5 linked regions of the Bombyx mori genome follow. The protein of the gene in region 1 purifies or fractionates together with the protein of each later gene. This does not show direct contact. Links are inferred from orthologs where the notes say so. Each region holds a gene or a part of one and is shown in the gene's direction. Other genes may lie near its edges.

The links.
Region 2: the proteins of DNA-directed RNA polymerase III subunit RPC8 (region 1) and calcitonin gene-related peptide-receptor component protein purify together in Homo sapiens (affinity purification with mass spectrometry; 4 studies listed by BioGRID and IntAct, with this or other methods). This does not show direct contact. The link is inferred for Bombyx mori from reciprocal best matches to the Homo sapiens genes POLR3H and CRCP.
Region 3: the proteins of DNA-directed RNA polymerase III subunit RPC8 (region 1) and DNA-directed RNA polymerase III subunit RPC7-like purify together in Homo sapiens (co-immunoprecipitation; 4 studies listed by BioGRID and IntAct, counting the BioPlex papers as one, with this or other methods). This does not show direct contact. The link is inferred for Bombyx mori from reciprocal best matches to the Homo sapiens genes POLR3H and POLR3GL.
Region 4: the proteins of DNA-directed RNA polymerase III subunit RPC8 (region 1) and DNA-directed RNA polymerase III subunit RPC2 purify together in Homo sapiens (affinity purification with mass spectrometry; 8 studies listed by BioGRID and IntAct, with this or other methods). This does not show direct contact. The link is inferred for Bombyx mori from reciprocal best matches to the Homo sapiens genes POLR3H and POLR3B.
Region 5: the proteins of DNA-directed RNA polymerase III subunit RPC8 (region 1) and DNA-directed RNA polymerase III subunit RPC4 purify together in Homo sapiens (affinity purification with mass spectrometry; 6 studies listed by BioGRID and IntAct, counting the BioPlex papers as one, with this or other methods). This does not show direct contact. The link is inferred for Bombyx mori from reciprocal best matches to the Homo sapiens genes POLR3H and POLR3D.

Annotation. Positions count from the first base shown.
Region 1 is NC_085117.1:13,231,039-13,237,689, reverse strand, and holds DNA-directed RNA polymerase III subunit RPC8, read left to right. Parts: upstream 1-2,819; 5' UTR 2,820-3,243; coding exon 3,244-3,354; intron 3,355-3,465; coding exon 3,466-3,649; intron 3,650-3,741; coding exon 3,742-3,882; intron 3,883-4,688; coding exon 4,689-4,888; 3' UTR 4,889-4,903; downstream 4,904-6,651.
Region 2 is NC_085116.1:3,000,152-3,006,336, reverse strand, and holds part of calcitonin gene-related peptide-receptor component protein, read left to right. Parts: intron 1-98; exon of another isoform or gene 99-891; coding exon of another isoform or gene 892-2,079; exon of another isoform or gene 2,080-2,140; intron 2,141-3,558; 5' UTR 3,559-3,765; intron 3,766-3,864; 5' UTR 3,865-3,983; coding exon 3,984-3,991; intron 3,992-4,610; coding exon 4,611-4,731; intron 4,732-5,403; coding exon 5,404-5,556; intron 5,557-6,185. Other genes in the region: glutamine synthetase 1, mitochondrial, read right to left, coding at 892-2,079. UniProt on the Homo sapiens protein: DNA-dependent RNA polymerase catalyzes the transcription of DNA into RNA using the four ribonucleoside triphosphates as substrates.
Region 3 is NC_085117.1:13,527,666-13,533,105, forward strand, and holds DNA-directed RNA polymerase III subunit RPC7-like, read left to right. Parts: upstream 1-2,460; 5' UTR 2,461-2,614; exon of another isoform or gene 2,615-2,736; 5' UTR 2,737-2,741; coding exon 2,742-3,395; 3' UTR 3,396-3,482; downstream 3,483-5,440. Other genes in the region: uncharacterized protein LOC105842656, read left to right, coding at 231-370, 1,524-1,623; sperm-associated antigen 6, read right to left, coding at 1,676-1,747, 1,833-1,893, 1,972-2,117, 3,741-3,899, 4,207-4,359, 5,083-5,235. UniProt on the Homo sapiens protein: DNA-dependent RNA polymerase catalyzes the transcription of DNA into RNA using the four ribonucleoside triphosphates as substrates. Specific peripheric component of RNA polymerase III which synthesizes small RNAs, such as 5S rRNA and tRNAs.
Region 4 is NC_085116.1:7,719,188-7,725,964, forward strand, and holds the start of DNA-directed RNA polymerase III subunit RPC2, read left to right. Parts: upstream 1-2,355; 5' UTR 2,356-2,582; coding exon 2,583-2,657; intron 2,658-3,035; coding exon 3,036-3,367; intron 3,368-3,951; coding exon 3,952-4,064; intron 4,065-4,996; coding exon 4,997-5,172; intron 5,173-5,605; coding exon 5,606-5,793; intron 5,794-6,317; coding exon 6,318-6,702; intron 6,703-6,776; coding exon 6,777-6,777. UniProt on the Homo sapiens protein: Catalytic core component of RNA polymerase III (Pol III), a DNA-dependent RNA polymerase which synthesizes small non-coding RNAs using the four ribonucleoside triphosphates as substrates.
Region 5 is NC_085113.1:12,562,083-12,568,750, forward strand, and holds the start of DNA-directed RNA polymerase III subunit RPC4, read left to right. Parts: upstream 1-2,645; 5' UTR 2,646-2,758; coding exon 2,759-2,919; intron 2,920-3,918; coding exon 3,919-4,052; intron 4,053-4,874; coding exon 4,875-4,987; intron 4,988-5,356; coding exon 5,357-5,489; intron 5,490-6,218; coding exon 6,219-6,308; intron 6,309-6,668. Other genes in the region: uncharacterized protein LOC101743779, read right to left, coding at 1-42, 627-773, 1,306-1,539, 2,028-2,109. UniProt on the Homo sapiens protein: DNA-dependent RNA polymerase catalyzes the transcription of DNA into RNA using the four ribonucleoside triphosphates as substrates.

The DNA of each region.
Region 1 (6,651 bases):
TAAGATTTTGCAACGAATATAAAACTTATATTGAGCGTCGAAAGATTTTCCCGGTTTTTTCCCGATTCGCCTCTCAATCCCTAATCGCCCTATTTTACCGGTACTTAATGCTAAATTAATTTTTCAATTGCATGATAAAAACAATACGTAAATTTTATTTTATTTTATGACCTGGTAACATAGACCTTTACGTCAAATATTTCAAATAAAAACAATATTTTAGTTTTTTTTAATGAATTTTACGACTTGGTAACTAAGACCTTTAAGAAATGTCTTATTTTAATTTATATTCTTATTTTTATGAAAAATGTTAATATGGAGTGAAATGGAATGAAACGAAATGAGATGAGATGATATGGGATGAATTTCATCTCAGTAAAATGGTGGTACATAATTTACTGAGATTTTTTCAGTCGACTTTTTGGAGGATTCTGAGAAGTTACGTCCAGCGGCTTTAATTCATTTTCCCACATTTGTGCATTTTCACAGATATTAAACAGTTAATAAACCACCGTCATTACACATTTAACGAAACACTAAATAAACAAAATAAAACAAATCACACAATTGCACTCCTCGTGGTCCCGCCAAAGGGTCTTCTTTCTCTCATGGAGTTAATAGGTACTAACCATAGATTATACTTATTATTTGATAGGTACTAACTCTATGCTTTCTCTACAGAATCAGCCTCAAATTTTATTATTAAGTGTATTACGGCTGTCCAATTTCAAAACCTAGTATCTGACAAATTTAAAAAAAAGTGTGTTTTTGCATTTTTCGACCTTGTAGACCATTCTCCACATATTAGGATAGCAAAAACCCCCAAAAATTTGTAAAAAACGAAGTTACACAAAGTCGGAAACCTAGTATCTACAGTAAAGGTTTTCAAAATGCAAAAATTACAAGATTAGAACATAGTATATAACATCAACCATTTTAAAAACCTAATAAGTGCTTGTAGTTACTTGGATTTAAAATGGTTCATGCAGATACTAAGGCAATGAAATGGTTGAAATAAACGTCAAAACTCCCGCGAAACTTTAGTAAGTGAGAAAATCGTTGCACGTTGTTCGTGTTTTTGTCTATAAAATGAGTAAAAATCAGTTTTATAGGTCGAAATTGATCTTGAATGCTTTAAAAGAACAACATGGTGAAATGTAAGTACGCTTCAGTGTGTTTTATTATTGTCAAGGTTTTTTGTTTTCCAAAATTGCAACCTACTACGACACATAAAGTAAATGAAGGTGCAAATATTCCAGAGGATGTTAAAACTGCATACGGGGATCACAAAGCTAGAGCAAGTAAAGCAATACAAAAGTATCAAGAAGATGCCTCCCTAGAAAATACTTCCTCTGTGAGATACTATTCGATGGATTTACAAAAAGTTATGTTGTTACCCGACATGCCTAAAGTCAAAGAATCGTTTTTCTTGAGTAGAATGATAACTTTCAACTTGACATTTGCACCAATCAGAAAGAAAACGAATGTTAATAATATTTGTATTCTATGGCATGAAGCCTGTTCTGGACGAGATGCTCATGACATTGTTAATGCAATTGCAGCAATGATCGAAAAAGAAAGAGATTTTAATCATTTGATATTGTGGTGTGATAATTGCAGAGCTCAAAATAAAAATTGGATCCTCTTTACATCACTTGTTACTATAATAATCTCTGGGTTTTTCAATTTAAAAAGTTGGACTTTGTAATACCTACCTAACTAAAGATCACACAAGCATGTCGCTGATGGAGTTCATGGCAATATGGAGAGGCAGATTAAAAACAAAAGATGCTGTGTACGATTTTGAAGACTATAAGAATGTAATTTTGGGTTGCAAATCGCATATTGAAGTTATCGAATTCGAAAAATCGTATGAGTGGGTAAAAAAGAAACGCATACCGCGACGCAATGATGACCTTGTTCCCATTAATAATTTTTTGCTTAGTTCTTTGGTTGAAATAATATTTGTAAATGGGTGCCGTAATATGTTTTGAATGATTTTTAATCTCCGTATTCCGAGTTGAATTCTCTTATTAAAAACACAATCTCTTGATCATGCCAACCTTAAAAAATATTCCAAGAGGCATTAACGAAAGTAATAAGGAAGGCATAGTAACAACTTTATTTAGCTTAAAGAAGTTTTGGAGAAGAAGTCTTGGCAAAGTGTACCGATTAATAATAATCCAGTTAATTTAGTTTCTAGTGGACAAATATTAATAACCGAATAATTTATTTTTATTTGACTGTTTTCAAATATTTTGAGTGATTATTTTTTGATTTTTTACTGTGAACAAATAGTGTTTGGTTTCCGATTATGTGTTTTTTTTTTCTTTTTCATTAAAACTGCTTATTTCTGCCCATATTTATGTTGTTTTATTCTGTTTTTTCTTACTATGTTTAAAAAATTGCATTTAGTTCCTACTCAGTAAATTCAGACCTAAATGAAAACAAAGCAAGTGATCTTACTAAGTCTATTAATTTGCGTTTATCCCCACTCATTATATTTTAGAATTAGATGAAAACAAAGCAAGTGATCTTACTAGGTTTTGAAATTGTCACACTCAAAAAGTTTGATCTAAGAAAACAATCTTTTTATTAGTAACTGCTCCTCTACGCACATCTTTTGTGATAGACGCATGAAATCTACTTTTTTATAAAGCCTGTTATGCACCTCAAATTTTGCAATCACTCTCAAGAAGGTACGACTAATATTATTGAAACGGCACGCTGTCAAAGATATGAAATTGTTTTTCGGCTCTCCTGTAAAATTTAGTTTTATGCAGATACTGGGTTTTGATATTTCACAGCCGATTAGTATCGACGCTTGAAAGGCAAACGTGACTAGGTGACAATGCAATGACAATGCGTGAACTTTACAGTAGACTAAAGTTAAAGTTGGAATACCTGAAAAAAATCTATTTTAACGAATCTAGCTGTAGTAGAATCTAGCTAGTAGCTGTAGGATTGAAATGATTTTAATAGACCTAGAAATATATAGTTTTTGCGCCTCGAATATGGTTATTGCCTATCATTTATGTACAAAGCAGTTATTGTCGCTTAGTCACGTTTGCCTTTCAAGCGTCGATATGGAATGAAACATTGGAAGGTGGACTTAAAAAACTCGTACCCATGCCTTCAATTCTTAAAAAAAAAAGCAAAATAGTAAACAGAGCAGACCATAAAATCTTCAAAAACCGAAGTTTTAAATAGAATTTAATAGTAACATATTTATCAAATAAACCAATGTTTGTATTAGCTGAAATGAAAGATGTTATTCGAGTTAATCCAGAATACTTTCGTCAAAGTCTAACTGATTCTATAACAACTTTACTCAACAGAAAGTTAGCTAATAAGGTTCATAAATCATAACTATCCAAATTAATTTAACCGAATTAGTTTATCTAATTGTATTTATTATTAGTTGTATATTGTATAATATATATGTTATTAAATATGTATTTTCAGGTTGTGTTAGAAGTAGGTTTATGTATTGTACTGTTTGACATAACCAATGTTGGACACTCGTACATATTCCCTGGAGACGGTTCATCTCACACAGAGGTGAAATTTAGATATATCGTGTTTCGACCTATTATTGAAGAGATACTTATAGGAAAAATAAGGAGCTGCAGTAGAGAAGGCGTGCACGGTAATTTATCAGTCATAAAATTACATGTATACTCAATAATGAGACCCAAATGTAAATAAATCATGATTATAATTACTATTTAAAATTTTCAGTGACATTAGGCTTTTTCGATGATATATTAATACCAGTAAATGCTCTTCAGCATCCGTCTAGATTTGACGAAACCGATCAAGCATGGGTATGGGAATATCCTAAGGAAGATGGAGAAAAACATGATTTGTTCATGGACTCGGGTGTGTATTATCAAACTCCAATTAATTAATATACATTTAATAATTTTTAATAAATAAGTTAAAATTTTAAATATATGTTAATATCTATTAAAGTACACTTGCTGAGTGAAACACAATGTGTTGGTGTCGTAGTCTGGTCCCAGCATTAGCATTGCTACCTTTGTATTGTTTAGAAATGCCACAGATGGGTTTTCTATAATAAAGATTCCCGCAGGCAGGTGCCAATGCTTCTAATGAAATACGTACTTAACAAATGTTCACGAATGACGTCCACAATGATGGAATAATATTGGGTGATAAAAACCAAACTTGCAAAATTATAATTTGTATAATTAGGTAGTAGGACATCTTATGAGTCCACATGGGTGGACTCCACCACCAGCTGCCTATTTCTGTGTCAACCAGTAGTGTTTGGTTTTAAGGATGGAGCATGTGTTGCACTGTAAAAACGGAGACCATAGAACTTATGTCCCAGGGTGGGTGGCTGCATTTAAATTTTAGATGTCTATGTGCTTCAGTAACTACTTAATGCCAGGTGGGCCATGTGATTGTCCACTCATTTAAGCAAAATAAAATATGCCAAAACACAGGTTAGCACTGTTGACTAACAAAACTTAATAAAATGGGTATTTGTTTAGAAGACAATGCCAATAATAAAAGCACCTAAAAAACTACATTGGTGGATTGACACAATCTAGATGTAAATTATAATAACTACACAAATATTATGCCTTATCATCACTACAAAGATTCTTTTTACTGTTAACATTGAAAATCTGTACTTTTAATAATAAAACAAATTACAGGTGAATCAATAAGATTTCGAGTGACAAGTGAGTTTTTTGAAGAGAGCTTACCAACAGGTCCTCCAGGAACAGATTGTACAGTACAAACGGTAGCACCTTATAGACTGATTGGAGGAATAAATGAACCAGGACTTGGACTTTTAACCTGGTGGGAGACACCAGATCAAGAGGGTGAAGAGGATGAAATAGATGATGAATAAAATATTCAGCTTCTATTGTTATTTTTTTATTTGTACTATGTTTGGGGAAACGGTTTGTTAAACTTCTCTGAATGTCTCCAAAGGAAGCTAATCATAAAAGGCACATGGCAAGTCCATCTATCAGGAGATTGAAATTGTGAGCTACTGAGAATATACAGGGAAACTAAGAGGGTTTAGTTGCTGATTAAATTATTTTTTTAGTTTCGATGGGTGGACACACTCATAGCCCTAGTATTAAGTGGTTACTGGAGCCCATAGACATCTACAACGTAAATGTGCCACCCACCTTGAAATATAAGTTCTAAGTCCCCAGTATAGTTACAACAGCTGCCCCTCCCTTCAAACCGAAATACATTACTGCTTTACGGAAGAAATAGGCTGGGTGGTGGTACCTACACGTGCGGACTCACAAAGGCCCTGCCACCAGTAATTACGCAAATTATAATTTTGCGTGTAATATACTAAAGATGGGTTCAAATTCAAGTGACGTCTATAGGTTCTGGTAACCCCTAAAGATTGGAATGAGCCATCTGGAACTAATCATAAGAGTCAGTTGATAATAACTGTATGTAGACTTCCACTTTATTCAAGGAGGACGTTGATTATTGTCTGCTTAAGATTCGCTATTAATTCAAGAATTATAACCTCATTAAAACGTTAAAGTAAATTAAAAAGTAAAATATAATTTGCAACAATATTTATTTAACATGATTATATAATAATACATAGTGATTATATTCCATTATTTTATTATAATTTTAAAATAATAAGTAAATGCCAATCTTAACTTAAGAATTCGGCGTTATAAGTAGATACTATGCCATAGTAACCTTGTCGAAAAAAAACCTAAAATCACAGTGTTTTGACCTGGGTCTAAATCCTTTAATGCACCAAATTACAAAAAGTTATGGGTCAGGCATATGTAACCAACTAATGATACTTTTTGATGAGATCACTCAGTTCAAAAAGGAATAAAATAAAATCTAGAATAGTTAAAATTACTTTTACACTATCACTTTCTACAATATTAAAATCACCTTGCAAAATAAATAACAATGTGTTACAAAAAAAACCGGTTTGATCCTTTTCTGCTAGCTATACAGGGTATAGGTACTGTATACACTTAAGCATTATGTAAGTTAAGCTTGTGCAGTTTTGCCTGTACATGGGATTTTTTTGAATATTAGTGGAATTGTATGAAAATTTGCTATATTTGTCAGAATATGCTTGTGTAGATAAAATGTACTGGTAAAACTAAGTGTTTGTCACCAGCACTGGTCTTAAGTTTCTAGTGATTAGTAATAAATAATAATAGTACTATATAAGTCATTATTGAGCGCATCCAATACTGCTACGGTGGCATTATTTAGCTGAGAACTTTGACGGACAGTTGGTAAAAGTCTTTCTACGAAAGGATAATAATAATTAGCATTGTAAATTGGATTTCGTCACGTTTAAGATGACGGATTGGCCTGCGCTTTTTAATTTCAAATTTGTTAAATTCTACACGCAATTCTACCTTTTTTTCTGACTTGACTTTTAATAGTTCTACAAAGATTTCACAGATGTTAAAGTCACAGCTCATTAGAGCCACCCGGTACTCACTCCGCGGGCCTAATGGCGGGTGGACCATTCGGCGACAACTCGCTGCTATGCCTAAGTATGCCTAAGTATGCGACTTGCCTTACGATGACTGCGCATTGTCAATGCTGGCCACAAAAAATTCACACGAGAACGACACCAATAGTTAAACTGACTATAAC
Region 2 (6,185 bases), on another chromosome or scaffold:
AATATGTGGTAATTTGTTAAACTGTAAAAGCTGGTTAAAAATGAAAACATCTAAGAATTCACTCCAAATCTTTTATTAAAACACCTGTAAATACCACAGTTTATACACATTGTACTGCAACTCCATAATTTTTGCCTTTACATATACATCAAAATGTAGGTAAACCAATATTTCAACAAAATTTTGATAATATTTCAAGGTTGAAAGTTGAAATATCAAAAATCTCATTGGATTTATTTTCCTTTTAGTGTATGACGTTATGCGTAAACGAATTCAGCACAGAAATCCGCTAATTCCAGTTAATGAGCTTGTCCGAAATAGGTATGAAGTCTATTCAGTGACAATTTACTGGTACCACCACCCCGCCTATTTCTGCCGTGAAGCAGTAATGCGTTTCGGTTTGAAGGGTGGAGCAGCCGTTGTAACTATACTGGGTCTATACTGAGACCTTAGAACGGATATTTCAAGGAGGGTGGCGCATTTACCTTGAAGATGTTTATGGGCTCCAGTAACCACTTAACACCAGATAGGCTATGAGCTCGTCCATCCAACTAAGCAATAAAAAAAACATGAGAGTTGGCTGAGTAATATACTGTATATTTTGTTGTGGCAAACAAAACAAAAGATATAGATATGACCAATAAATCTAAATTTAGTAGTTCACAGTAAATCGTAAATCATTAGACTTAGATTTTCTTAGTACATATCTAATGTAACTAAAATAACTCTCATTTTTATTAGGTTTCATTTTATAATATTTTATATGTATATATTTTAAATTTTTACATTTTTTCTAAAAATAAATTTTTTATTAATCAAATTATATCTAATAGACCATCAAACACGAAATATTCAGTGCTCTTTTTAGTTGTTTCTTCCAATAAATTAAGTTCAAATACATGTTTTAGCAATTACGCCACAAACCATGTACGGATCACAGTTGCCTGCAGGTCTTCGATCTTCAAAGTATCCTTTGCCTTCTGATATAACTTTTTTCTGAATTCGTATCGACGCACTTCTATCAGAAATGCCTACACGACACGAATCATATGATGATGTTTCAAATTTTCCTACCAACCTCTTCTTGTTATCTTCACCATCTTTTAAATCATAGCTTTTAATGATTTTTTCATGTTGATCGCATAAAATTTTGCAAATCCTTTTTATTTCTGTGACACCTTGATCGGCACGCATTTTCTTTGTACTAAAATTATGATGACATCCTATGCCAGCATGTCCATCTCCCATTGGCTTAGGATGAAAGCTAATTATAACGTCGAAATGCTCTGCTATTCGATTTAGAAGATACCGACCTATCCAGATATCGTCAGCTGCCTTTATTCCTAATGTAGGTCCTACTTGAAATTCCCACGATCCATTCATTACTTCTGCATTGGATCCGTCGTAATCCATGCCAGAATAGATACAAGCTCTGGCATGACACTCAGCAATTTCTCTCCCGGCTACATGTTCACCTACACCACAGTAAGAATTCTTAGAATCTTGGTCTGGATACCCTCGTGGCTTTGGCCATCCCAAAGGCCAATGATCACGATCGAACATTGTGTATTCTTGTTCTATACCAAACCATGGTTCTTGGTCACAAATTTTACTCAAGGTTATAGCTGATGATACTCTGTGGTTTGTGGGGGTCGGTAAACCTTCACTAGAATATGTTTCACACAAAACTATTATATGCGGACTCTTACGAAAAGGATCTCTGTACACTGCAACGGGAAGTAGTGTAATATCTGAATCCTTCAGATCTGACTGTCCAGTTGAACTCCCGTCATACGACCATTTCGGCACCATTTCTAAATCACAAGGCTCCTTATCCAATATTCGGTCTTTAGACCGTAAATTTATCCCACTAGCATCAATCCATACATAGGTGGCAAAAATTTTATTTTTCGGAAACGGTAAATTTAAAAAGTAATTGTAGTACGCATCATGCGATCCTGGATGCCCAAAGATACTGCTAGTACTTAAATAATAAACATGTTTCATATTTTTATACACTAAATTCTTTGATAGGAAAATACTTCTAAAAACTTTAGCACATGTTTTAAAGCAGTACATTGTTTAAAATTTTTGAATTAACTTTTAACTAAAAACGGTTTTTAAATTACCTTATAGATTTAAAAACTCGATGGACGCGGAAGTCTTTTAAAATTATTTATATATTTGTAAGAACCTATTTTCAAACGATTTCTCTGGCTGGATTTGTCTCTGTAGGCTGGTACTGGTAATATCCGAATGCGTACCGTATTTTCCATCTTATCTATATCTGGCGGTGTCTTTGACGCTCTTAGCATTTTGTAAGCCCGTTGATCGTTATGAGTTAGTGGGGAATCCAGAAAGACGATAATAGGCCTTTTTATACCAACTCGAGCTGGCGCTGAGAGGCTTCGTCGTCGTGACGGTGACGACCGTTGGATTGTCATCCTATTTGCTAACGTGATAAATAGAAAACAATTCAACTCTAAGAGTTTCTTCCGCGCCTGCCTTGATAAATTTCTGTCACATTCGAGTCTAGAACTCGGTTTGTTGAACGACAGGTTGTTTTAGTCGGTTCGGCTCTAAGGTGTATATTGCGCCCAAGACGTAGGTTAGAGTCTGATAATTTTCTCCAAAAAGACTCCTTAACCTAACCCTAGCTGACACTACATTATAATTCCGCTTGAGAAGCAGTTTCGCGTCAAGAACAAGGTTTTGGCCTAAATTTACAAAAGCTTAAGCGATATGAGCTGAGGTCTCTTTGTCTAGTTGTTTAAGCTAGGTATTGGGATACTTGGGGTCGATATTTCGAGCAATGTCCAATTTTGGAGTAATTTCGGAAAGCCAGGTTTGCGTCAAAAATGTTGGGAGTCTCAACAGAGCGAAGCGGTACTTCACGCCTGGACAAATACTTGTTTTTTACAAACACAGGTCCGGCCTCGCGCGGACTACTGCTCCCACCTCTGCGTCGGGGCTCCCAAATACCAGCTACTTCCATTTGACTCCATACAGAAGAGAGCTGTCCGGATTGTCGATAATCTCATTCTCACGGATCGTTTGGAACCTCTGGGTCTGCGGAGGGACTTCGGTTACCTCTGTATTCTGTACCGTATGTTCCATAGGGAGTGCTCTGAAGAAATGTTCAAGATGATAACATCATCTCGTTTTTACCATCGTACCGATCGCCACCGGAGTAGAGTTCATCCATACTATTTGTGCGTTTCCAGGGGTCTTTTTTGCCATGTACCATCCGGCTATGGAATGAGCTCCCCTCCACGGTATTTCCGGACCGCTATGAAATATCCTTCTTCAAACCAGCCTTGTGAAGAGTAAGCGTTAGGCAGCAGCTTGCCTCTGCTCCTGGCATTGCTGAAGTCCATGGGTGTCAGTAATCACTCACCATCAAGTGGGACGTATGCTCGTCTCCCTACAAGGGCAATAAAAAAAGTATGTTTGACATAATGTCTACGGCTTAATACTAGCTGTCAAAAACATGTGTGTGGAGTTCATTTGTAAGTGTATGTTAGGTTATATATAATCTTACTCTATGGTGTATGTATTGATAAAGACTGAAGAGTTTATTTATACCGAATTTGAAACAACCCTAATTTTTAACAACAATGGCTCAAAAATACTATTTTTACCCAGTACAGTAATAATTAATAATATAATAACATATTATTAAAATCGAAGACGTAAGACTTAATTAAGCAATATAAACAATATCTAAAAAGTACAAATCTAACCCTATTAAACAAGTGTAAAGTAATTTAAGGTTTTAGCATGTATAAATATAATATACGCTAATTTTCGCCAAGAGAGTATTACGAAAGAGTGTATCCAATCTTTAGCAATATTAGTCTTAATAAGTTAAATGTGGAATATTTTCAATAATAGGGCCTTCGTGGATATATTTCAAAATCAAGCCAAAAGCCAGTGATACATTAGAGAAGTCAAACACCAAGTGATATGTGTTGAATTTGAACATGGAAACGTAAGACTTTTTTAGATAATTTTTTCTTTAGTAAAACTTTAAAGTTGGTATTTCGTTTAAGCAGTTTTTTTTTAATTCTTCTCATAATCTCAGACACAAGAATACCTAGTTTTGTTTTATATGATTATTTAACACTGAATAAGATAGAAGTGGAAACTTCTTTCTTCATATTCTGATCAATATTTGCTATCACTGAAACTGATTTAATTAAGCATTATATAAAAGTAGACAATATTGTTTAGATTTTCATTTAAGGCTAAAGTGGCTTATAGAACTAAGAATACCATGTGGATTAATAGCTGCCATATTTTGAGATAGACACTTTGTACAAGTCTCAGGTCTTCGGGTGGGTACCACCACCCTGCCTATTTCTACCGTGAAGCAGTAATGCGTTTCGGTTTGAAGGGTGGGGCAGCCGTTGTAACTATACTTAAGACCTTAGAACTTATATCTCAAGGTGGGTGGCGCATTTACGTTGTGGATGTGTATGGGCTCCAGTAACCACTCAACACCAGGCGGTGGGCTGTGAGCTCGTCCACCCATCTAAGCAATAAAAAAAAAGTCTCGAACTTTTTATTATTAACCTTTTGTTATTAACATACTTCATGTTACATTACAGTATAAAAGCCAATTCCGCATTTCTGTGTAATTATGAAGTTATGCAAATTCTCCAAAAGTTAAAAGATAACACACATAAAAAGCATAAGAGAGAAGCTTCACTTGCCACTGTTACATATGAGGTGAGGTTATCCAATAATTATTATATTCTTGCTTATATAACAAGCTAATTCAATGTAAAAAACGGTAGGCAGCGGCTTGGCTCTGCCCCTGGCATTGCTGAAGTCCATGGGCGACGGTAACCACTCACCATCAGGTGGGCCGTATGCTCGTCTGCCTGCAAGGGCAATAAAAAAAATATGTCATTCTGGTCTAAAGGATATAGTGCCCCTGATGTACTATTATTAAAATTGAACGATACAACTATGCAAATCAAACCCCACGGGCAAGTTGCAATTTATCCAAAGAAATTCATACTCAAGTCACTTTCACATTCGTAAATTCCAGGATGAAGGAAGAGCATTGTGTAATAAAAAACATACCTAAAAATAAAATGTTATAATTTGTATTTACATTAAGTAAATTGTACTTTTTTTTAACCCATAGACAAGTAAATTGTACTTACAATATGTTTGTACTTACATAGGATTGATTTCTTTAGATATATCATGAGAGAGCTTTAAAGATTCCCTGTATTTTGCATTGGTCAAGTGGTAATAAACGTTAAATTTTATTCGCAGTCTAAAACCATGATGTTGCATGCTGTGTGCTCTACACTCATACAATGGAATATTAATTGCACATTTACAATCATATTCGTCAAACATTTAGATTATTTTTCTTTCTTTTTCCAGACTGTACATTACTTACAAGACACAGAATGCAAAAATCAGAGTGCCCAAAAAATTCAGAAGTTCCTAGAAGCTATGAAAAAATACAAGCTCACTAAAGTTGAGAAATTAATGATGGTAAACACTCCGCCCAGGACTGAATTGGAAATACAATTGGTATGTACATTGTTTGTTTTCTTCTTCTATCTACATTTTTAAAGACATTACTGTTTCACAGACAACATGGAACTTTGGGAACTTCTAATGATGAACATACTTCTAAAAGTTTTTTTTTTATTCTTCTATTGATAATGTGAAAAATCAAGGACAGGCTCACAATTCACTTGTTGTTAAAGAGTTACTCGAGCACGGAAACTTATACTATAGTGAATAAAGTGCTACTAAGAGTGCTGAAAGGAATTAGGATGAATTTGTGGGTGCTATTACTATGGGGCATCACATACTTTGTGAGTGTCCCCTATCTTTAAATTATATAGCAGGAATAATGTGATCAGTGTTTGGATGAGGAGTAGAGGACCAGAGAATGACATAAAATATTCCAATGGTTGAAACGCCATTGCAATTCATTTCCATGCCCTTAATTGAAGATAAATAAGATCTACTATTGATAGTAGAATTGTGAAGTAGTAATAATATGAGAAAACTGCACATTACATATTGCATGATACTAACTCATCCTCAAACTGATAGATGGTTTCTACTACAGTGCCAATTGTCATTGCTCGATATTGCCACAATTTGACAATAGATCACTCTTTCAGCTACAATCTAGTTTTCAGTACAGT
Region 3 (5,440 bases), about 300 kb from region 1:
TTTTATGTAAATCTAAAAGTACTAATAGTTTTTCTCATCCAATTAATAATACATCACATGCGTCAATTCTTTATTGCGACTTATAATAACGTACCTGCCTCTTATAGGTCTGCAATAGTGCTATTTAAAATGCTTACAAGTATGTAGCCAGTTTAAATTCCTCCCTGGCGATTGTGTGTAATGGCCAATAGCTTCCACAATAATTCGTTTTCTCTTTTTGTAAATCACAGGGTTTAAATGCAAATGAATTAGAATTACTAAAGACGAATTTAATACGACATGACATAAAATTCCTTCAAAACCAGAATTTTCACGAGATCGAAGCGTTGGGTGTACGCATGTTAAATCTGTTGGCTGAAAATGACTTTAAGTGAGTATATATAAACTATAAGGAACACATCTTGAAGTAACTTCGTCAAAGGTAGCTTAAAAAAGTTTATTATCTTATCTTATACCATCTCCTTGAGACTAAAAAGTCTGATGGTATAAGATAACAAGGATGCGATGCAGTGTGAAATATCTAGTTCCAATTTAAGAGCTTAAGAATTCTTTTTTTTTCTTCAAGTTTGTAGGTCTAAATAAAATATTTATATTTACTAAATTCACGCTCGTAATTATAACTATCTTTACCTATATATAATTCTACTGTACGTGTGTATGTCACTGAACTCCGCCTGGACCGATTTGAATGAATTTCTATTCGTTTGGGTGGCGCCCTGGATGGTTTAGATTCACAAATCAACCCCGCAGATGGCGCTGCAGTCGGTATCTAGGTTATTTCTCTTTCCTAAAAACCCAAAAATTTAATGGCAAAACAACCTTTGCTGGGTCAACTAATATTTCATATATGTGTACCTATTATATATTTATAGTTAAAAAAATAGAACACTGATAGCCATGCAGATCTATTATTCTTACCAAAGTAAAATAGGGGTAGTGACGCAAGAAACGTTTGGAGAGAAAGTAATCCCTACTGTCGAAACGGGTTCCGATTTTTAAAGATAATGCTATAATTTATAATTATAATATAAATTCTCGTCATCGCGAGATACATGAATCTGCTCGTCTATATATTGGCGCGTCTAACGTAGCCGACTGAAGAAACATTTAGATACCTACGCTTCTATTTTAGACACTATCCATAACTTTACAAAATAAGTTAAAAATATTGGAAAACAGCGTTCTCTGAGTGTTAAACAACCGTATTGCGATTGGTAATTGATATAAATTGGTTTATATTGACGTAATGTACAATCGCATTCTGAGTGTTTCTATCGCGTAGCTGTCCTGCATTCTAGTTTGAAGTGTGGACCAGCAGTACCAAAATGGGCCCTTAGACCTTTTGTCACCGACCGGGTGGTGATATTCACGTTGTGATGTCTTTGGGCTCAGGTAACTACTTAACGCTAAATTGACTGTAAGCACACACTCGTAGCGAATTGGATAATACCCTCTAAATCGGGCAAGATTTTTACCGCAGATAAATCGGTCTGTGTACAAATTTAACCATAATCCTATTGCAGTTACAGAGTATTGACTCAATCAATGGTAATAGAAGAATCTAAGATTGGTGGAAGAAATGTACAACTACAAAAAATTGTTTGGACTATGTACAAAGAATGAAAATTGAAACAGTATTAATAAATTGTATTTAACAACATATAAGAAAAATAAACTAATTTCTTTTCTCTATACTCATTTCGCTTTGGCAATCACTCGGCACCCGATCAGTAAAAAGTTCTGGTATCTATTCAACAAAAGAAAGTTACATGTTAATACATGAAAACTACAAGTGTCTATCGAAAATATATACATAAGAGTTTATTCCATACTTGTGGTGTATACGCTTCAACTCTATCCAGCAAAGAATCTGTGTAGCCGGGAGTATAATATCTGAAAATGAAAAATGTATAAAAGCCCACAGTTGAGATTTGAGTAGGACAAATTTTCTTTTAGTAGGTAGTCTTTTACCTTACTATTTCTTCAGGGAAGCAACTGTTTATGATATTAATATACTCCTTCAGGGACGTTCCGGGCACTGTTTCAATTTCTTGTATTCTTTTCAATGCTCCTGTTGTAACAAAAAGCCTTCTAGCTCTTGCATCGTTGGGTAGAATCTGAAAAAATAAAACGAACATAAATAATCTACTTCCTTATACTTTCATTATAATTTGTATAATAATTTCTGAACTGAACAGTTTTTCAGAAATTATGAAACTCCATGAAATTTAAATGGTACTTGCAAAAGACCCTAATAAGAAAAACATACACATTTCTTGGATTTAGCCTGCAAGAGAATGATTCGCACGTATATTTTGTTCTAATAAATGATGAACCTCATTACGAATTACTACGGTAATTGGTTCACGTTCTTCAAATGATGAAGGCAATATACATAGGCTTATTTCATGTCATCTCTAGTTTATTCTTATTTCACGCCATAGTCAATTTCAAATTATCAATAATTCTCATACTGCTGCATTTTACGTTTTGAAAAATAAATAAAGCCACGATTTTTTTTAACGTTGGCTGTATGAGCTACGTCTCTATTACCTGATTTATGAAAGAATTAAACGAAAAAACATCCGATTCAAAACAATAACAAATGAGTAGGGTACGTAGATACCATAGATTATACACTTAATATATTTGAGATAGGTAGATACCATCTGGAGTTTCAAATTTAAATAGATTAACTATCACCAAATTGTTTTCTGATCAAAAAATCGATTACAGTTACAATGGCAGGTAGAGGACGAGGACGCGGGGGTAGCGGTTTATCATTAACTACTGAGCAAATACAAGCCTTAGGTGTGACACGCGGCGACAATGCTCCTCCAACACTTGTGCCGCCACCACTGTTTCCAAAACTTGAGAAAAAACCACTACCTCTTATATGTGATGCCGCCACTGACTATATGCTCATTGTCAAAGATCAGTTCATTGAATATCTACACGAATCACCGGCATTTGTTAAAGTCAAAACAGAGACTGACGGTGTAGAGCGATATTCTGATAAGTACAAAATGTTAGCACTTGATGCGAAGCAGAATAAGTTATTGGATTGCGTGTGGGTTAACATGCCTACCGAATTACGGCCTCAAGCAAAACGTCCGCGTACTGTTCCGAGGAAAAGAAAACTCGATGATCCCGAAGAGATAGCAAAGAGATTACAAACGCTTGAAAAAAAAGAGACTCTGGAAACAGATGAGGCGATAGACGGCAAAAAAAAAGAATTAAACAACGAAAACGTAGATGAAGAAGAGGAGCTGGAAGATGAACATGAGCAAGAATACGAACTAGATGATGGTACTGACTATGCAAATAACTATTTTGATAACGGGGAAGATTATGAAGAAGAAGATGATAATTTGGATGATGGACCTGTTTACTAGGAAATATATATATACAAATTTATATTACACAGTTGAAACTGATTGATCTTGCATATTAAAAATAATTACAATTAACTGTTAATCAAATAGTTTTCACTTTTAATTTTTACTTTCAAATATTCTTTATTAGCAATTTGAAAAACAGTCCCGCCTGGTAGAACTCTTTAAAAAATAGAAATAAATGAATATTTCAGCGAAAGAAGTTTACTACTTAAGTAACTGCTACATCATATTTAAACGAATCAATCGTTAATCAATCGAAAAATCAATCATTACTGATTACTGGAGCACTGTTTCATTTGAAATAGTGTATTATTGTTATATTTGCCTAACTAGAATAATTACCTTTGCATACTGAGCTAGTACATATTTCAATATACAAGCAGGTGCAGAATGTAACAATGTCTCTAATGCAGGTCTATGTAGACAGCATTGTAATGCCTGTTTCAATGCACATGATGTCCGAGCTTGTACTTCTCCTGAAGACTTTGGGTTTGTGTAAAGCTGTAAAATTAAACTAACGATGTTTAATTTAAATATAATTTAAATATACTTTAAATATTGACATCTATCTACGTATATAAATGAAAAGATTATAAATGTGCTATTTGCACATGTATCAGACAAGTATTAAAGACTGATGACAATAATATAGTAATTTTATTACTTTGGCTTAATATTGTGATCAGAATTAGTACATCGAATAAAAAAAAAACGTTATGTCAATTTTAATTCTGCTTGCTGTTAATTTTTAAACCACAAATACTTTTACATCTAAACTAATCTAAAGTAAGAATGAGGTCAACCTAACTTGTAACAGTCTAGGTAGAGCATTGGCCACAGCAACAGCCAGACTGTGTTGTGGTGAGTGTTTTGCGATGTGGCCTAATGTCCAAGTAGCTGCACACAACTCTGCATCTTCTGCATCTTTCTTTTGTAGAATTTCAACAAGTGGTGTAATGGCCTAAAATTGATAGATACATTTTTTTTATTTATAAAACCAGAAAAGGCAACACAACAGGTCACAATTTGTGATGATTGATAACTTAAATAGTGTAGTGAAAAAACTTAATAAGATTATTTATTTCATATTTTTTTTTAAATTCAATGTTTCATAAATTGACTAATAGTCTCAGTATTACCAGTTTTCACTCATAAATATATATAATAAGTTATGTTTATGGCATCGACATAGGTATAAGCCGTGACGGATTTAGGCTTGATGGCGCCCTAGGCCCTGTTTATCGCGCCGCCCTCAATGTTTGAATAAATTTTATTAATTTTGATTCAATATTTTCATTTTAAATTTAAATTATCTTTATTTCCTTAAAATATAATTTTTGAATATCATCATCATCATCAGCCTTTATCTGCCCACTGCTAGACATAGGCCTTCTCCAATGCCTTCCACAGCATGCGGTTCTCCGCCTTCCGCATCCAATGACTTCCCGCTGTGCGCACTAAGTCGTCGGTCCACCTGGTTGGAGGACGCCCCACGCTCCTGGTACCCATCCGTGGCCTCCATTCGAGGACTTTCCTCCCCCACCTGGCGTCGTTGGTTCAACAGACGTGACCGGTGACCGGAGACGTGAAATTAAGTTTAAAAGGTATAATATATATAAAAGGTATAATATAAATATTAATATTTTATTGAGTTGTGTCAAACACAAATGTAAACTTTATTCACCTTCGATTCTATAACTGCCATTGCGAGCTGATCTGATTGCCCTGCAATAAATCCTAGTGCCATACAAGCTGGGACTCTTGATCCACCCGTACTCTCTTTTAATAGTTCGACCAAAGGACCACATCCACCAGTGTTCACTACTAGCTGAGCCAACTAAATAAATTGCAAATATTTCATAGTTAGGTATTAGTAAGATTATGGATTATTTCTTTCTGTTTTGATTTTATAACAAATAACTGACTAATCGAACGTAATGCTATGTTTTTTTTACCCAATTATTTAACAAATAACAAGTTTAGTAAATAGGAATTAAAGTAAAATAGTTTGCTTTCGAATCTCTTCTTTCCGTGAATAACAT
Region 4 (6,777 bases), on another chromosome or scaffold:
TGGTTGCCTTGAGAGGCTATTCCAGCGTAACCTTAACTAGTAGGTGAGCTCACGGGGCTCAAACCTGACGACGTTGCTAACACGAACCCTTGCAAGAGCCGTGCTTCGCAGAATCTACCACCGGATCGGAAACGCGATCCACTGAGAAGATCCGGCGAGAAACTCAGTGGGCTGTGTCTGAGGGTTAATTTGCTCGTCGAGCCCTTCGTCGCAAGCGACGGGTTCGACGAGAACGGTGACCGGTGCTTGAAGTACCTAAAAGCACCGTTAGTGGATCGGAAGGATCCAAATTACGTGTTTTGGGCGACGTCGACTGCTTTCCATTCTTTCCGCAGGATCGGGAATGTAGTTACCGGCGGCCACGATGAGAGGGTTCTCGTGTCGTGCCGCTTTGTCGAAGTGATCCGAACCGTTTTTTTTTTTTCCTGCCTAATCTGGTAGCCTGGAGCGGCTATTCCAGCGTAACCGTGGCTAGTAGGTGAGCTCACGGGGCTCAAACCTGACAACGATGATAACACGAACCCTAGCAAGAGCCGTGCTTCGCGGAATCTACCACCGGATCGGAAACGCGACCCACTGAGAAGATCCGGCGAGAAACTCAGTGGGCTGTGTCTGAGGGTTAATTTGCTCGTCGAGCCCTTCGTCGCAAGCGACGGGTTCGACGAGAACGGTGACCGGTGCTTGAAGTACCTAAAAGCACCGTTAGTGGATCGGAAGGATCCAAAATGACGTGTTTTGGGCGACGTCGACTGCTTTCCATTCTTTCCGCAGGATCGGGAATGTAGTTACCGGCGGCCACGATGAGAGGGTTCTCGTGTCGTGCCGCTTTGTCGAAGTGATCCGAACCGTTTTTTTTTTTCCTGCCTAATCTGGTAGCCTGGAGCGGCTATTCCAGCGTAACCGTGGCTAGTAGGTGAGCTCACGGGGCTCAAACCTGACAACGATGATAACACGAACCCTAGCAAGAGCCGTGCTTCGCGGAATCTACCACCGGATCGGAAACGCGACCCACTGAGAAGATCCGGCGAGAGTGGGCTGTGTTTGAGAGTTATGTCCGAACCGTTTTTTTTTTTTTTTTTATGATTGAGAGATTACTGGTGGCCCGAAGGCCTTTCCAGTTTCACCAGGACAGGTGGGCGAGCAAAGGCTCAGCCAGGAGGGGTGGGATTTGCTAACAGCTGCCCGAGCGCCTCCGAAGGAGACCTAACAACTCAAGAGCAATTGCTTCGCGAATGAATCTACTACCGGATCGGAATCGCGACCCGCTGAGAAGATCCGGTGAGAAGCTCAGCGGGCTGATGCATGGGCTAGGTTGCACGTCGACCTCTTTGTCGAGTTCGACGAGTACGGTTACTGGGGTCCCTAAGCCTGCTCCTAGTATTAGAGCTGAAGGCATCTAATGCAAAGGTTATTGGATCTGATGGATCCGTAAGGACGTGTCTAGGGCGTCGACGGTGACTGGCTCCTGCATGATCAGGATTCGGTGAGTAGTCAGCGGCGGCAACGATAAGGCGATTATCATGACGCATATCCTTATCGAAGTACCGTTCCGACGCTGACTTCATGTATTTCTGGATTGATTCAAGGCCCAGGTCGTCGTGTATTGTCCGAACCGTACCGAGAATTACCGAATTTATACGATGTCAAGAAAAGGGATGTCCAATATGCGTGTTTGAGGATGTTCTTTAATAAAAATAAAGTTTAACTTCTTACGCGCGTACATAAGTACACGCACCCTTTTTTTTTTGTTTATTTAGAGTTTCTTCAGGTTTAAGCGCCTTATTCACGATCCATCACGACTGTACGTCAGCTCAAGGCCGCAATTAATAATAATTATCGACGTACGTCAAGCCTATTCATGATCCTTTTGCATCGTGCATCGTGCATGGCCTTGGCGGGACGTACAGCAAGATGGATCGTGAATAAGGCGCTTTAAATAGGTAATCGGTGGTTTATTAACTGTCTATTATCTGTGAAAGTGCATAAATGTGGGAAAATGAAACAAAGCTGCTGAACGTAACTTCTCGGGATCCTCGAAAATCCACTGAAAAAGTCTCAGTAAATGACCACCGTTTTACTGAGATTATATTTCATCCCATATCACCTCATCTCATTTTATTTCGTTTTAATTTCATTTCATTTCATGCCATGTTTTATATTAATCGACTTTATTTCATTTCATAATATTATTTTTCATTTACCTAAAAAAACTTTTCATTAAAATTAAAATAAGACTTGACCTTGACTTGGTTTTAGTTACCAGGTCATAAAATCCCTTAAAAAAAGTATAGATGGATTTAAAAATTATTTATGGGCACGCTGTATGGGCTTAGATCCCCTTGCCTTTCTTAAAGGAAAAATTGTACCAAAAAAATATCTATGAGTTTAAAGTTTGTAATTAAATGTGCAGAATTGTGCTCGTGTTTGTTCGTTGTTAAAAATTGCACTTATTGTTTACATATGTACTCATCTGATTTGTTCCATTCTATAAAACAATTCCAAGATTCCATCGCTTGGTAAATACGGACAATATGATTTACTGCCGAAGATAGTTCAATATTACAATAGCTTATTTAATTTACATGATGGGCGAACTTAATAAAAAACAAAATGAGTGGGATACCAAAGGATTACGGGACCCTGTCAAAACCCTTGAGGTACTAGCTTTATTACTTTTCTGAATTACTACTATTGTTTTGATACACAATTGAAAAAAAAATACACGAACTATAATATTACTACTAACCAAACAACAAAATCATATAACTGTCTTTAAGATTTTGTTCATTCATTGATATTTAATCACTCCAAAGTTCAATTGTATAGTAACAAAAGTTGTAAGTGACAATATACAGTTGAGTTCAAAACCCTACCAAAGTATGATCATAATTATTTGAATAATAAAATGTATGAATTTTATAGAATAACATCATAAAAATCTTAGAAAAAAATAGTACAATTTACTGACGTCCTGATTTTATCTTAAATTTCTAATATTTCAGCTTAACACTGTTCATATGAATGTTTTCTTTCAGGATAAATGGAAATTAGTGCCTTCATTTCTTCAAGTTAAAGGTTTGGTGAAACAGCACATAGATTCATTTAATTACTTCATAAATGTGGAGATAAAGAAGATAGTACAGGCTAATGAAAAAGTATTTTGTGAATCTGATCCACTGTTCTATATTAAATATTTAAATGCCTATGTTGGTACACCTGACTTGGAAGAAGGGTTCAATATCACTAAGCCAACGACACCTCATGAATGTCGTCTTAGAGATATAACATACTCAGCTCCTATAACTGTTGATATAGAATATATTAGAGGAAACCAGAGGGTGATCAAAAATAAACAACTGATTGGAAGGTAACATCTTAAATAAATGAAGAAATGCATATTCTAATACTAGCAGATGTAATGTTGCTTGATCTATTACTATATCTTGATCTTACTCACTAAAAAGCAGAACATTCCAGGCTTTAAAAAATTCTGTATTATACATATCAAATGAATTTAACATTCTGTACTCCCAATTGAAAATATCCTATCTTAAAAACAATTCAATGAAAAGCTCGACAGAGAAATTATGTTTTATTGTTTGTCCACCCCACCCAATGTAACTCAGTTAAAAATTGATTGACTTATGGGCTGCAACTATTGATGATGTAGGAATTTAAGTAGTTCATCATCTGCCTTTTACCTATCTTCACGACACATGTCTGTCAAAGTATTAATAAAGTAGTCAAAGTAAAAACAGTTTTTGTGTCAATATCAAAGTAATAGTATCACAAATTTTTAACATGTTAATGATTCCTTTAATTACTTTAACATTAGGTCTTTGCTTATGAAGTTTAACAATACTGGCCATTTGAAATGTAATTAAATTATATACCTATTATTAACATCACTCTCATATATCATTTTGAAATCTGTATTTTGATTCTTTACAGAATGCCCCTCATGCTTAGGTCTTCAAACTGCGTTCTTACTAATAAATCGGATTTTGAGCTTGCACAGTTAAATGAGTGTCCCCATGATCCTGGAGGCTATTTTATTATAAGAGGTAAGAAACCAATTTAATTTTATACAACTAATATTAAAAAAAAACTCCAATGTATATAAATGTAAAATGTACATAAAATATTTAAATGTGTAATAATTGTAATCATAAAGTTAAATTTTATTAATTTGTTAATCTGGAGTAAAGTACATTGGGAGCCTTATATTTAGTCAGAATAAAAATAAACGAAAATTTAAATAAATATAATATAAAGAAATATAATAAATAAATATAAAGAAAAACTTTAAGTTAAAAATACATAGAATAAAAAATTTGGCAAGACTTAAAGCATAATAACCTAACATTGACCACATTAAGGTTGCATTTCACACTACATTTGGGTTTTTTTTTGTGGTCTAAATGAATGAAATACTGAGTTCTCTGTGAATATACAGTTATGAGCTAGGTTTCTAGACAAAATAATATGGTTTTAATGAAACACATTTATTAACAGTGCTCTAAAACAAAGTTAAAGACAATCAAATTCAAATTATCATTTTAACGATACTGTAAAAATAACTGCGTTTGAACGTTCAAAGAGATGATCTGATTGAGTAGCATAGCCAAAAAATATGCTAAAATTTATCTAAATTTCTAAAAAAAAAAGAAAACAGTTTTGGGATCCGAACACTATTGGTTTTGATTTCAAGAGTGACAATATTTTATTATTCGATCACTATTGCATACAGTTACATGGAGTGAATTCAGTTAGTTTTATATTGGCTTCATGTACGCTTTTTCATTTATGCAGCCCCTTTAATAGAAGTTCAATGGATGTATGGTTTTTAAAATGAAATGTATTTTTGTTTTTATTTTTCCCTGCACGAGTAGTACCTAGCCCCGTACCCGCTTGACCTTGAGTTTCAGGACACCTGTATAAGTACATATATATGTAGTTTACTTGAGTAATGAAAAACAATTTTTATTGTCTGTAGGTCAAGAAAAGGTGATTTTAATTCAAGAGCAACTCTCTAGAAATCGAATGATTGTTGATGAATTCAAAGGAGCAGTACAATGTCAGGTTACAAGTTCCACACATGAGAAGAAAACTAGAACGAATGTGATTCTTAAACATGGAAAATATGTGCTCAGACATAATGCATTGTCTGATGTATGTTACTACTTAAATCAATTTCATTTAACAAACAATAATCAAAGCTATATATGTATTTTTTACTGGTGGTAGGACCTCTTGTGAGTCCGCACGGGTAGGTACCACCACCCTGCCTATTTCTGCCGTGAAGCAGTAATGCGTTTCGGTTTGAAGGGTTGGGCAGCCGTTGTGACTATACTGAGATCTTAGAACTATATCTCAAGGTGTGTGGAGCATTTACCTTGTAGATGTCTATGGGCTCCAGTAACCACTTAACACCAGGTGGGCTGTGAGCTCGTCCACACATCTAAGCAATAAAAAATAAAAATAAAACCATAATATGTTTTGAATTGGACTTCTTCCCTTCAAAATTACAAAAGCTATTTCAAAAGCTAAAATAAATAATTTCCAATTATGTAGTTTCCACTAATTTGTATTTTTTTATATTCAGGATATTCCAATAGCTGTCGCCTTTAAAGCCATGGGCATATGTAGTGATCAAGAAATAATGCAGCTTGTAGGTACTGACGATAATACAATAAAAAAAATGGCACCTTGTATTCTAGATTGCCATAATTTGAAAATATTTACTCAAAATCAAGCTCTGACTTATATAGGAAGTAAACTAAAAGTAAAAAGGTAAGGTTTCATTTTACATCTAATTTATCACTGTTTAGTGCATATATAAATAAAAATATTTTACTACCCCGCTGTTTCTGTAAGCTTTTTTTGTAATCAAATTACTTAATAGTTACTAATTGTTTTAAATGTTCGCGACTAATAATATATTGAACGCGTTCATAATTTAATTTCGTTAAAAATCTATGCTAAATTGTGATAAAGTACGCTCTTTGTGCTGAGGAGATAGAGAAAATATGTCCAAGGAAAGTAGTCCAGTATATGACAAATTGGGCCTGGAAAAAGATATCTATATAGAACGCGGGAGAAGTTGAAATAAATCCAATTCAGCAGTGAAAGTGTACTTACAGTCTTCCATCCCTTGCGAGCATTCATATAAAAATACCGTTTGATAGATCTAATATGCTTATAGTTAAAAAATAAACGTACATTTAAACCTTAACCATTGCCATTACATATATTTAAATGCTTCCACATTTTCCATACAGTACCTATTAAAATCTATTTTTGTTTTAAATGTAAAGGTATCAAGGTGGAAACACAAAAGTACGCTCACCAATTGATGACGCTCGTGAACTATTAGCTACGACTATATTAGCTCACGTATCGGTTGAGAATTACAATTTCTACGTAAAGGCCATTTACCTTGCGATAATGGTGAAAAGGGTAATTGAAGCCGAAACAAATAAAACTGCAATAGACGATCCAGATTACTATGGGAACAAAAGGCTTGAATTGGCGGGGTCTTTATTGGCACTTATGTTTGAAGATTTATTCAAAAGATTCAACTGGGAATTGAAGAGTATAGCCGATAAAATAATACCTAAAGTTAAAGCTGCCCCCTTTGATGTTGTGAAGCATATGAGACCGGATTTGATTGCTAATGGACTGTTTACAGCCATCTCTAGTGTTAGTACAGTTTATCGATTTCTTATGGGCATTAATTACTCATTATACCATGCTAATAAGATATAATATTTTAGG
Region 5 (6,668 bases), on another chromosome or scaffold:
ATCCCAAATCTTCTTCGGGCAAACTCTCATTTGAAAAATCATCTGTAACATAAAAAATGATATTTAAGCTAAAATTGTGAAATTTTCTTTTTTTTCTACCAAACTGATGGTCTAGAGAGATCATATCAGCGTCGCCGGGCTACTAGGTGAGCTTACGGGGCTCAAACCTGACGATGTTGCTAACACGAACCATAGCAAGAGCAGTGCTTCGCAGAATCTACCACCGGATCGGAAACGCGACCCACTGAGAAGATCCGACGAGAAACTCAGTGGACTGTGGCTGTGGGTTAATTCACTCGCCGAGCCCTTTGTCGCAAGCGACGGGTTCGACGAGAACGATGCCCGGTGCTTGGGGTACCTAAAAGCACCGTTAATGGATCGGGAGGATCCGAGATGGCGTGTTTTGGGCGACGGCGACTGTTTACCATTTGGTCCGCAGGATCGGCAATGTAGTTACCGGCGGCCACGATGAGAGGGTTTTTCGTGTCGTGCCGATTTATCGAAATGGGAAATTTTCTAATAACACATGCTTTAAGTCAATTTATTACTAAAATAAATCTAAAGAAACGTGAAAAAGAAGATGAGCTATCATCATTCCTATATAGTGAATGTTTTGTAAATATTACCAGTATAAAACTCATCTTGATATGAGCATTCAAGCTCCATGCTGTGTCTCCTAATTATAGGTGGAGGGGTGCTTGGCGGGGAGAGCTGCTTCAGGTGACAAGGTTCCGACAGTGGAATAAAGTCAAATAAATCTCTTTGATAATTATCTGAAAAATATTAATTTTAACAGCAAAAGGATTTTATTGATTTATTTATTATACGCTTACCAAAGTCCATAAACAACAACAACTTAATGCCATCACCCACCTTGAGTTCTAAGGTCACTGTTATTATAGTGGCTGCCCCACTCTTTAAACTGAAACGCATTACTGTTTCACGGCAGAAATAATAGGGGTATTGGTACCTTCTCCCTTGCAGGTTAATGAAATGCCCAAATACCAGTAAGTCTATAGTGATGCAGGCATAGTAGTACTATACAACTAAGACGTCTTGAGGTGGGTGGTGACAATTAGATTGATGATTGTGGGCTCCAGTAACCACTTTACACCAAGACGACTGCAAGCTGATCCATCCATTTAAAGAAAAATACTTACAATTTTTATTTTTATTTTAGCTGATGTTCTCATAAGCAGCCTTGTGTATCATGCAGTGTTAGTTTGCTTAATCAACAAGCTAATGGTTCTTATTACTAAATTTTTCATTAACAAAATAATGCTAATTATAGAATCAAAATTATACCATAGTGCTTAGGTTTGGTGAACTCAATTTCTTCAAATGTACATCCTTTATCACCATCCTCATCAGTATATATGAGAGAACCCACATTCACAGCACGAGGGGTGAACACTTTACGTGATGGTGTGCTCTGAATTGCTTTCCCAGTATTTGATAGAAAAGATTTCTTGGTTTCCCCTTTTTTTGTTGGTTCATTTGGTTTTGTGGGGCCTGCTGAGACTACTTTGCCCATGTTTTCTGAAAATCACTTATTAATTGAAAAATTACTACATAACAATTGTTCATGAACATATTTTTTGCCATTTTTTCCATCAGAAATGTTTAAGGTGATGATTTGCGAAGGTTGCGCAGTTACGAAAATTGATGAGCATAGCCGACGACTGGCTTCAATGGTGTATATTGGGGGAGACCTACGTCTAGCAGTTTGGACAGTTCTAGGACTTTGGGCTGATGATGATTTCTAATTGTAACAATATGTCATTGTAGGCAAAACATTCGCATTGAAAAATGAAAATATAGTCTGATGGACATAGTTTGTAAGTGTACAGCTGCTGCTAGATACATTACGACGTGAACCGACTTAAAAGAAAAAGTAAGTTATATAATTAAAACATAATGCAATTCATTCAAGCTGCGGTTTCCTAATGAATAATGTGTGGTCTCATTTAGCTCAGATATATTATTTTTTAAGAGTGGTAAAACTTTTTAAAATAAATTATATTTACCTATATTATGCAGAGGTTGCCGGGAAACATTTTTCACGGCCTGTCTAGTAAGGTGATCTCCAAAAATATCAAACAGAGACATTGTGGCTAAATCGAAGGTTAATTTCGATAGACTGATTTTTTCTATATCGTCGTTATTTGCTATTGTTTAACGAATTTCAAACGGCTACTAAAGTTCAGTGTTCACTCATTTTCAAAACAACGACGAATCAACGGCAAAGAACATATGTCATAGATTATAAACTAATAGAATGACCAGCCCTTGGCGAATAATATATTAATAAAAATATGTAAAAACAATATGGTAAAATATATCACAGTACCGTATCATAAATAAAATGTAAAAAGCTAAGAGTATTATTCACCCGTTTTAAACTATATTGTACAGCAGAGTACAAGGGAAAGTGGAGCCTAGTCAAGCTAGTAGAGCTCTTTTGTGGAATTTTATTTGAGAAAGGGACCCTGAGAATTGAGCCCGAACTAATCCCATCTTACGTTCTTACAATATAATATAATACCTATGTGTACAAATCAAAATCACTGGAAATATTATGTACATTTTACACAGTAGCATTGCGCCAGCCATTTTCCAAAAGTCTTGGCTGTATAGCATGCGTTCCTTTTGTATGTCAGCTGCAGCTGATGTATGTTTGAAAACATTTTTATAGGTTAGACAAATAAAAGAGTTTCTAAATTTCAAACTAATATATTACTTTGAAAAAGAAATTGCAATGTCCGGTGATAAATCATCTAAACCGAATGGACTGGGTACAGATCCCATGCAGAGGCTCGCTTCATTAAAAGCACCCAGAGATCTTATGCTTGGAGGAGTCAAACCAAACAAAAAAGTCTTCACACCTAACTTGAACGTAGCTCGGAGTAAAAATAAAGGGTGAGTTACATTCAGAATGTAAGAATACATTACAGAGATGGTTATTTTTTGCAACCACCACAATATCGCCATCAATTCTGGACACATTGGGCACTCGTTAAGAACTTCGCTTTCGTGAGGCACTGACCGAGCAATGTACTCCGTTGACGGAATGTGAAACTGCGAAACCATTATGCCTTGGGTGGATTAGTTATTTCAGTTATCAGCCACAATAACAAAATGTTCTACAAAAGTTCACAGTGCACATACATGACTTACTTGCAATCTGAAACCGCTCTATATTCTAAAATAATAATAACCCTAAACCATGGCTGCTGACAACTAACCGTAGTCAAGTTTGTAATTTTTAATCTTTGACTTAAAAAATAAGAAACATTGATTTCAAATGAAATATAATACCTCTAAAAACCTAAAATGCCAAGCTCACGTCATCCCCTAGTTAAAAAAAATCTAGCATCATCGTAATAATCTTAAATACTGCAACATTATGTTTGTATGCAATCATCATCATAATCATTATTTCCTATTAGCCTCTGCTGGGGTGTAGGGCTTGAATCAAATTTTCCATTTATATCGGTCTTGAGCAGTCTGTTCTAGCTCCTCCCACGTCATGCCCAAGACACCTAGCTCCTGTTCCTGTTTGTATGCAAGTTATAAAAAATCACAAATGTGGCTTTTAATCCTTTTACTACAGGAGGCTGACACGCTTCTGAACTGTCAGCATCCCTGTAAATATATAAGGTTGATTGTTTTTATTTATATATTACAGAGCCAGGTAAATGGATACCAGTGTCTTTAGACCACTACCACCACTTTAGCACACCACGAATGCCATGATTAACGTTTAGATATGAGGTTGAAGCCTCAATTATATTGTGGAACAGCTGCCCCACCCTTCAAACCGGGATGGAAATAGTGCATTACCACCATTAGTATAAAATTAGAGTTATTAATATATTTTGATCTAGTGTAATGAAATTAATTCAAGTATAATTATAGACAAGCAACAACAAGTGCCAAAGAAACAAGGAATGAAGAGAAGAACAGCAGGGATTCAAACAGGAACCGGAATTTTAACAGGAATCAGAGAAATGGGCCAACACTAATAAAATCTGCTGGTGTCTTCTCTGAAGGTTAACATTTTAAATAAATAATTTATTTGTCTTCTATAATCATTAGCTACCCATCAAAATAACTGATAATTTATTACAATATTATATTAACAATAATATACAATATTTTTGTTGTTGCTAGTCATAGGCATAATTAAAATTTACAGTTTAATATCAGGTTATGACCACAAAACCTCCAATGTATTCCAAACATTGGAAATAAAGTATTTATTATGTTTAATAGAGTTATTGATGATAAGAAAGTAGAATTACATGTAAAAATAATAATATATATAGTCAGTTTATTTTGCCAATGATGTTTGTGCGGTAATCACTATTACATCTATCAGAATACATTTTTAAAACCAAACTGTTTTGTTGCAATTGAGATGATACATTGACGTTAGTTCCTATAGATTTCACCTTACACAATGAATGAATTCATTTTCATGCCATAATTAAAAGCTATTGTTAAAAGTGAAATGACCATGGCTTCATACAACCGTATCAATATGTTAGTTTAAATTGTTTGAATGATTCATCATTTGTTTTTATAAATCCACGAAACATTCTTCCAATCTCCCGTACAACTGAGTTCTGTGAATCATAGCTACTAAATTAATACAAAATCATTAATCAATCATTAAGTAATGATGTTGAATTCAATCAATGAATGACTCTATTTTTTTTAATGATAACATTACATTCAGAACTTCACAATTCAGACAGGAGTAAGCGTTTAAAAATAGCTGAGCTTTATTCAGTTTGATTACTCCTAAAAATTAAATGAATACTGAAAATTAAGCCAGTCAATAATTAAAAACTCAAAGTAATTGATTACAGGCATCGGTTCATCAGAGAGGCATTCTTCAAGTCGCTCGTACTACGGGCGGGACACAGAAAAAACTACAAACATTATGAAGAAGCCAGCTATCAGAGTAAAGGATTTCGTGAAGGTATTTACATTTAAATTACATTCATCGGTTAATTTTGTTGTAATTAAAATCGTGTAATAAAAATAAAAACCGCAAAATTGTAATTTGCGTAATTACTGGTGGTAGGACCTCTTGTGAGTACGCACGGGTAGGTACCACCACCCCGCCTATTCCTGCCGTGAAGCAGTAATGCATTTCCGTTAGAAAGGTGGGGTAGCCATTGTAACTATATTGAGACCTTAGAACTTATATCTCAAGGTGAGTGGCGCATTTGCGTTGTAGATGTCTATGGGCTCTAGTAACCACTTAATAGCAGGTGGGCTGTGTGCTCTTCCACACATTAAAGCAATAAAAAAAAGTGACCTAAATCCACTATCTATATCTTTCTAGATCGACAAAGAACTGGAGGAGAAGAAGATAAATATGATTTTAAGAGGAGGCGATACTGACGAGCTGGAGTCCATCGACTTTAAGGACATCCTCGACAGGGACGCACCCATCAAACTACCCATGGATGATGGGAGTGAGTTTCTAATCAACTTTCCTGTGTTCATCCAGTATTTTCTATGTAGCGTCGGCTTAGAGAAGCTCATCATCTCCACTCGTGGTTGTGGTGAGGTTGTAAGTGACGAACTGGAGTTAGCTGATAGCGTCCTGCCTACCTCGGTCGTGAAGCACAGGGGTTACACTGTACATTGAGGCTTTCATTTCAATTCTCGAGATTGGTACCGGTATCCGCACTCTGATCTATACCGTCCATAACGACTTCACAGATTAACAAATTCCTGAACATTGGAATGGTATTTTTATAGGATTTAGGATCTATCCAGCTACGGTCCCTTTAAATCAGCGGTCGGGGAATCGAGGTAAATTACCCGAAATGGGGTAATATGAAATTTTGTGGGGTAAAAATGAAACTTTTGTGAGTAAAAATTATATATATATATATTGAAGTGAAACTTCTTTAGAATCGTTGTGATTTCAAATTATCATGGGGTCTATAATATGAAAGATGCTAAAAGGAAGCGATTTCGTTTTTTTTTGTTCTTCGCCATGGGGTAATATCAACTTACACAAAAATATTTTGGGGTAGTAATTAAAAAAGTTCCCCGACCGCTGCTTTAAATTAATGGTTCCTCCTCCCTGAGTCGCATTCCTCATGTCTGAGGGTCGTGACCATCTCCTCCCATCATCCCTCTTTGGATGATGTTTCCGCATCTTCAATATTTACATAAATACATGTCTTTGACAGACTGGGCCAAGACTCATGCGAAACCGAAAGTCAAGGTTAAAGAAGAGATTGTTGTCAAGACAGAACCCCGGGAAGATGGCGACTGTGTTAGTAAGTAGTCTCAATATTAGAGTACCTTTTTTTATGAATGTGTGATTATTGGTGGTCAGGAGGCCTTTTTAGTTTTACCAGGACAATTCGGCGAGCAAAGGCTCAGTCAGGAGGGGTGGGATTTGCTAACAGCTGCCCGAGCACCTCCAAATGAGACCTAACAGCTCAAAAGCAACTGCTTCGTGAATGAATCTACTACCGGATCGGAATAGCGATCCGCTGAGAAGATCCGGCGAGAAACTCAACGCGCTGATGTATGAGTTAGGTTGCACGTTGAACTCTTTGTCGAGTTCGACGAGTACGGGTCCCTAAGCTTGCTCCTAGTGTTACAGCTGAAGGCGTCTAATGCAAGGGTTATTG